Bombyx mori: one gene and its partner. The protein of the gene in region 2 purifies or fractionates together with the protein of the main gene of each other region. This does not show direct contact. Links are inferred from orthologs where the notes say so. Each region holds a gene or a part of one and is shown on either strand. Other genes may lie near its edges.

Region 1 (3,933 bases), on a different chromosome or scaffold from region 2:
TCATACATTTAATATACATATATAATACTTGTTAATATAGAAAATAAAACTTCAGGAATAGTTTATTTTATGCAATGTGCATCTTGACCATTTAAATACTTTGATGTGAAAATGTAACAAAAAAATATACTTCCATCTTTATAATATCGATTATTTAATTATAATTAAAAAAAACATGTTAGAGTTGACTGACCATGTCAGAAGACTATGCCACTATTAACAGTTTAAGATGTTGAATGCCATGACGACCATGCGACCCACCGGTGGGCGTAGCGTGCTATACCATTCGGGCCAAGACCAAATCAGGGAATCAGTAATTTTTATCAACTTGAGATTTTCATTAAAAAACCTGTAAAATGCGATAATTTGCATGGAAGATAAAAATCAGTGACTTCTACTGTCTAGCCTGTCCTTCAAACGAGGTTTGTGGAGAGTATAAAGCGGTAGGCAGTGGCTTGGCTCTGCCCCTGGCATTGTTGAAGCCCATGGGCGACGGTAACCACTCACCATTAGGTGGGCCGTATGCTCGTCTGCTTACAAGGACAATAAAAAAAAAGCCTTTAAGATATTTTAAAAGGTATAATCTTCATAAAAACTACAACTTTCTATTAGATGTGAAAACCAAGGAATTCGGTTCAACTAAAGGGCCCTGTGAGTCACTTTCATGCATATTCTGTTTGATAGCTGCAATCTGTAGCTTGTAGGAAGCGTTTACGTTAGAACCCTCATATGGCTCACAGGTAACCCTCAAGGCCCGAACGGTTCATTCGATTTTTCACGTGGCGTTCAACAAGTGTATAAAAATGTTAAAGAATATAGTAAAATACTTACAATTTTTCATCCCTCTGTCTTTCAATTAAACCAGAAACTTTGTACAATTGCAAATCTACTTCATCTTCCTCTGGAGCACCAGGAGGTGGGGGGGGTATTGGTAATGTGACTTTAGACGTGGAAGGACCTGGCTCTGATGACTGAACTGGTCTGGAACTTTCACTGAGGGGTTTCCGGTGGGTCTGTAAAATAGAAAATATAACAAATTAATATAATGTTTGTGAAAAAACAATACTGGAGATAATTTTTTTTTAATCTTAAAAATATCTAGGCAGTTGACTATAAAATGTGTTGATTAGATATTATATTTCACAAGCTGCTTTTCACTTGTCATTTATTTAGATTACGGATTCCCAAAGTGGTTGAGATAAGTTTACCAGTAGTTACCATTAATAAAAATTAATTTTGGGGGTCTACAAGGTCTACAATCTACCCAAGTTCTACACAAGTTCTTATTTGAAGATCTACACAAGTTCTTATTTGAAGATCTACACAAGCTCTTATTTGAAAATTTTCAAAATACTGTATAAGTTATACATGTATCAACTTGTAAGAATGACTAAAATTTTAGTAAATACTTATTTTTTTTAAATTGATAAGTATTTTGTAAAGTAATTTGGGTATAGGAGTCTGAGCTATAAGTTCATTTTGAAAAATGTCACCCTAGGTCAATAAGACTGCTCCCTGTGTATGGAAGTGAATATTATTATCAATGTAATAGATATAGATGAAATGAAATATCTGTAAAAATAGTATGTTTGCGGTAGGCAGCGGCTTGGCTCTGCCCCAGCATTGCTGAAGTCCATGGGCGACGGTAACCACTCACCATCAGGTGGGCCATGCGCCTACAAGGGCAATAAAAAAAATCAAAATAATATTTAAATTCCATTCCAAGGGCATTCCTCTTATACTATTTTAAAATTAAAAAGAAGCAAAAAGGGGCATTTATTCATGAGTGCAGGGCCATTAATAAATACCACTGACACTGTCAATTACAAATTTTTATAACATTATTTGCTATTATTTTACCGAACCATAAGTAACAATTATTATAGAACAAAAGATATTGATACAGTTGAAATGACTTGAATTCTAAAGCCAGGTTGATTCTAATTCTAAAACCATATTTTATTAGTTATTCAAGATGCCTTTAGCTTCTACATCAGAATGGAACACAATGAAGTCAAATCACCTCTGAGCTTGTGGAAGACTGTTCAAAGAGTACAGCACCATTGACTGGATTCAAGTATATCATGTCGCCATGACACAGTCCACAATCTCGCAGCTGTCTCGATTTGCTGGATGTGATTTCTTCCTTGCGCTGTCTGTCCTTGTGCAGAGTGAATGCGAAAGAGTTCAGATTCAGAGCTTCGTATATTCGCTCGAATAGATGCGCCGTCACATCGGAGTCCAGCACCTCCACTCGCGCTGTACCTTCGGGTGACTGAACTCGCAATAGCTGGAAAACAAACGGCAAGCCTGATCAACAATGAAAAAAATTATTATGTCCGTTAAGGCAAGCAATCTATTATACTTTTTCCAATATTCCAATTAAGAATTATTAAAATATTCTGTTGTGAATTATTTACTTGTAAAAACCGAACCAAAAACATTAAAATAATTGAAGACATGTCAAACTAATCAACAGCAAACTCGAAATTTCTATGACTTGAAGTCTCATATTTTTTCACTGAAACAGGCATCTAATTCTCAAGAAGACAGGCTCATATGCTATGTGAGGTAATTCAGTACCATTTTTTGTGATCTAGACATCTTCTCATCAACATAAAACTACAAAACACCAACAAAGCACTGACATAACAAATTTGACAAATCTTTGAAATCTTGTATTCCAAATACAGTGAAAAATATGTATAACGTCAATAAAAATATATCTCTGTTTAACTCGCTAAAGCGTAGAACCACAAAAACCTGTATGCTAGAAATAATTTCAGATTGTTCTACTTTTTCCGACTCTGGAACATAAACAATGACAGGACAAATATCACGCTTAAAATCGGATACACGAATAAATTAGCCAGTAGATCCAGTTTTCGATACATTTAAAATTAAGTGTACCTACCTTTCTTCCAGAAAAAAAGACTGGTCGTGAGGTCTTGCTTTTTTCTAAATTAAAGTGAATAAAACTGCGTAGCAGCTAATAATAGTATTCTAATATTAATAAAAAATATATTCATATTGCGCCTTTGGAATTTTTGTTTTAGTTTTATAATAAAATAATTGAACGGTTAATATGTAGTAGAAAAGAAAGTGAGAAATTTTATGAATTGAAAGCTAATAAAAGATAATGAAAGGTTGTATGATTATATGATAGGAAGGTATGATTCTTTTTATTATTCAAGTATTGAGTATAAAGTTTTGTGAGGTTGTGTTTGTTATGAGTTGTCTTATGGTTTGTAAGTTGAGTTGAGTTTGACTGATTTAAGTGGGAATAGCAATACTAATTTGGAGTGTTGTTTTCTATGTTTATGTATCATGTTTATAGTGAATGAGGTTTAAACTTATTAGTAAGAGGTCCAGAAGGAGTTGAAGGTTTTTAAAGTTAAAGAGGTCGAGAAGGAGATTAAAGTTTTTAAGTGGACTTAAGGAAGTTAATTTTTATTTTTATTTTTTATTGCCTAGATGGGTGGACGAGCTCACAGCCCACCTGGTGTTAAGTGGTTACTGGAGCCCACAGACATCCACGACGTAAATGCGCCACCCACCTTGAGATATAAGTTCTAAGGTCTCAAGTATAGTTACACCTGTTGCCCCACCCTTCAAACTGAAATTCATTACTGCTTCACGGCAGAAATAGGCAGGACGGTGCTACCTGCCCACGCGGACTCACAAGAGGTCCTACCACCAGTAATTACGAAAATTATAATTATGCGGGTTTCATTTTTATTACACGATGTTATTCCTTCACTGTGGAAGTCAATCGTGAACATTTGTTGAGTACGTATTTCATTAGAAAAATTTGTACTCGCCTGGGATTCGAACACCGGTGCATCGCTCAACACGAATGCACCGGACGTCTTATCCCTTAGGCCACGATGACTTCATGTTGTGAGTAGTCGAGAAGGAGTTAAAGGTTATTAT
Region 2 (3,933 bases):
GGCAGTATGCGGGCGTGTGGTCTACGATTTTCTCGTCACAACTACTGCAGACGTAGTACTTCAGCGTCGGTTCCCTGCGAGCGACGAGGCGCACGTACGGCCAAAATAGCTGTGTGCACCTGCGTCGCCTAGTTTGCTAACAGTAGCTCTAGCAAGAATAGTGCTGCTAGCGCAGAATCTACCAGCGAATCGGATACGCGATCCACTGAGAATACCAGTGAGAAACTCAAGTTGTTATCACTAAATGTGACATGATGCAAGAACTGTGAACAGTTTGCAGTGTGTAGTATACCCGTGTATGTATCTGGTTATACTACTAAACTATTTTTACTGCTAATATGTAGTCAATAATTAACTTAAATAAAATTACTTAACTGTAATTTCAGAACTTTCTTACCTAGCATCTTCTAGCTTATTTAGCAGTCTCAGAATGGCTTTGCCTTTTATTAAACCAAGATGTCTTAATGATTTTAATTTGAGAGCATCAACACCGACAACTTCCTGGCGCATATATAAAATACATGGATTTAGCAAGGAGCCAAACTCATTAGGTGCTAATTTCATTATCATATCATATAATGCTATGTTTGGATTAAAATCAGCTGTTCTTCTTTCACCTAAAATAAATAAAAAAACAATTGTAAAAACACTGGTGCTGGTGATCAAGTTAATATATAAAGGGTTTGTGTTTTATGTTACTTCATAAAGAGGCTGGAACTATAAAAATTGTGATCTTCCTCTACCTAAAATATAAAAGTAATATTTTTTCTAATAAATAATGCTTGATTAACACTACTTTTACATTTTAATTTCACATAAATGTACTTTTCTTTGTGTCTATGATTTGTGAAAGTTGAAGGACATACATCGTTTGGAACCTTTGGGTCTGCGGAGGGACTTCGGTTCCCTCTGTATTTTGTACCGAATGTTCCATGGGGAGTGCTCTGAGGAATTGTTCGAGATGATACCGGCATCTCGTTTTTACCATCGCACCGCCCGCCACCGGAGTAGAGTTCATCCATACTACCTGGAGCCACTGCGGTCATCCACAGTGCGTTTCCAGAGGTCTTTTCTGCCACGTACCATCCGGCTATGGAATGAGCTCCCCTCCACGGTCTTTCCGAGCGCTATGACATGTCCTTCTTTAAAAGAGGCTTGTGGAGAGTATTAAGCGATAGGCAGCGGCTTGGCTCTGCCCCTGGCATTGCTGAAGTCCATGGGCGACGGTAACCACTCACCATCAGGTGGGCCGTATGCTCGTCTGCCTACAAGGGCAATAAAAAAAAAATAAAAAAAAAATACTATATTTATTATTGTTCTAATGAGTCTGGTAGCGTCTAAATGACATTAGTAGTTCAATTATAACAAAAATATCATGTCCATCAAAAACAGTAGTTTCCTTTTTTTTTCTTCAGAAAACAGATTTATGTTATTATACTTACCATCTTCTAACATTAAACCAATTGTGACAATTGATTCCTCTCGTCTTGTTTCACACTCAACCATTTCAAGTGTAGCTCTATTTGGCACATTAGAAAATCGTATTGTTGTTGTTAAATCCATTATCTGATTATGAAACTTCAAGTTGTAGTCTAAAGGTTGGAATCCTTGTTTTTTACATGCATCCTCTAAGATCTAAAATTATATTGATTTGACTAATTAAACCTTACCACTATTACTATATGATTGATACATTTACACTAATTTGCAATTTAATTTTTATTTATTGGTAATATTGTAATTTTTTTTATATCAAATTATTTTAAATTATTATTGTAATGTTAAAAATGGTTCATCAAGGCTGAAACATCAGTATTAGAATAAATATTATAATCACTACATTACACAGCAGTCATGAAGAATATTTGTGCACGAATTGAATACAATTTTGCATTTTATAATGAATTAATCGAAATAGTACATTTGAATTCAGTGTTTGAGTGTTTTTATATAAACAAGCATCAAATAAATATTCATAGTTTACCACCAACAAGACAACTGAAATGGAAACTTATAATAAGCATAGTTACGGGTAGTTTAAGAAACTAAATTTTATAAGTTTTCTGAAAATACTTTCATATTAAACATTTACTTTATAGCATTCCAAATCTAATACCTGTAACATGCTAGTGTCTGGTGTACAATGCACTTTGTGTCTTCTTCCATTGGGTGTTAAAATGATGATATCTTTCGACATTATTTATTTTTGTTGGTTTTATCGTTTTACTAATTGAAATGAAATAATTATTTTACGATCTTCCAAAATATCTACAACTTCCTACATAACCTAAAACTAAAATACAAATTAAGTAACTTTACATTACAAACAACAAGTCATCTGTTTATAATTTTTTATCTGTCCCCAATTTGATTCTCTTTGCCTCAAATATTAAGTGTATTTTATCTATGCTCTTTGCATGCACAGACTATTTAGGTACTAAGAGATGCATATCATAAGTGTATTTATTATCTATGCTTTAGATTAAAAATGTACGTACGTCGAAGAAGCAATGGTAATGATTGAGCCCTAAACACGTCATTACGGATCCTCCCGATCCATTAACGGTGCTTTTAGGTACCTCAAGCATCGATCATCGACCTAGCCGAACCCGTCGCTTGCGACGAAGGGCTCGACGAGTAAATTAATCCATAGACACAGCCCACTGAGTTTCTCGGCGGATCTCCTCAGTGGGTCGCGCTTCCGATCCGGTGGTAGATTCTGCGAAGCACTGCTCTTGCTAGAACCAGTGTTAGCAACACTTCGGCTTGGGCCCTGCGAGCTCACCTACACGTCAAGGAAAAGCTTGACTTGAGAAAAAGCTATTGCGAGAACCCTAAAGAGTGGAGAGCACTGTTTTTCTCAATGGTTTCGTAAGTCAGGCGTTAGTTATTAGTTTGCAAAAATACTTATAGCATGAAGGGAATTATTTCAAAAAATAGCAAATGAATTAATAGGTAATTGCTGCTATTTTAATCTACAAATGTATATTCTAAAACTTGGTGTCAAACGTCCTATGAATATTTATAGTTGAACATAATAATAACTACTGATATGCCGATCTAGCTCCACTTTTTCAAAAATGGCATCCAATTTATCCGTAATAGGGCGACCAGAGCGACGTGCATCTTTGACATCAAAATTTCCGGATTGAAAACGCACCAAAGTGCTACTCTCACAGACACTGCACTAGGTCTATAAACATAGCAATTTTTTTTTCCGGGCTGGCGTTGCATTTTTACTTTTTTGTAGTAAAATTTTAAAATGTATCGAGTTTCTTCATTAGATTCACTCATCTTGACAGTACGAAAAATAAATAAAAATAATATTCCTAATTTGAATTTGGAATTATCTTCTTTAAAGTTTAAGCTTTTAATGATACCAAAACCAGCCAGATACAAATAGTATAATAGCCAAAGAGCTTTTGTTACTAGTTCATATATATGCGAATAGACTATAATGCGAAAAGACTTTTTCCCCAACCTATTAGTATTAAACATTATCATACAATGTATGTAGAAATGTTTCTCAATTATTAATATATTTGAGTTTTATCGAATTCTCCCTAGCCGCTTACAGTTCTTAGAAGCTCTCTAAGCACCGGTCACCGTTCTCGATTCCGATCCGGTGGTACATATAATTTACCTATTAGACTACGGACTGTCCCTAATGAAAAATGTTGGTCAGGATTGCGCTTCAAAAGTCGAAAAATTATTAAATTTTCCATTCATCGTACCTGGATAGGGATAATATGGGCGGAAGAGCGCGGAGATATATGATACAAATGATACTCGACCGTGATGAGGAATAGGAAGGACTTATGTATCTTTAGACAACACGTCGTGCTAGAAACCCACGCAGGGGCACCGGAGGGTGTCTACGATTCATTTTGCATAAGGTAACTGGAGTTACAGCAACTCCGCAACAGGAAAAAA

What was found.
Region 1: the proteins of tether containing UBX domain for GLUT4 (region 2) and nuclear protein localization protein 4 homolog purify together in Homo sapiens (affinity purification with mass spectrometry; 3 studies listed by BioGRID and IntAct, with this or other methods). This does not show direct contact. The link is inferred for Bombyx mori from reciprocal best matches to the Homo sapiens genes ASPSCR1 and NPLOC4.

What each region holds. Positions count from the first base shown.
Region 1 is NC_085123.1:16,719,670-16,723,602, reverse strand, and holds the start of nuclear protein localization protein 4 homolog, read right to left. Parts: upstream 2,584-3,933; 5' UTR 2,463-2,583; coding exon 2,421-2,462; exon of another isoform or gene 2,366-2,420; intron 2,291-2,365; coding exon 2,024-2,290; intron 1,014-2,023; coding exon 832-1,013; intron 1-831. UniProt on the Homo sapiens protein: The ternary complex containing UFD1, VCP and NPLOC4 binds ubiquitinated proteins and is necessary for the export of misfolded proteins from the ER to the cytoplasm, where they are degraded by the proteasome.
Region 2 is NC_085117.1:12,214,831-12,218,763, reverse strand, and holds the start of tether containing UBX domain for GLUT4, read right to left. Parts: upstream 2,391-3,933; 5' UTR 2,198-2,390; coding exon 2,117-2,197; intron 1,636-2,116; coding exon 1,443-1,635; intron 618-1,442; coding exon 398-617; intron 1-397. UniProt on the Homo sapiens protein: Tethering protein that sequesters GLUT4-containing vesicles in the cytoplasm in the absence of insulin. Modulates the amount of GLUT4 that is available at the cell surface. Enhances VCP methylation catalyzed by VCPKMT.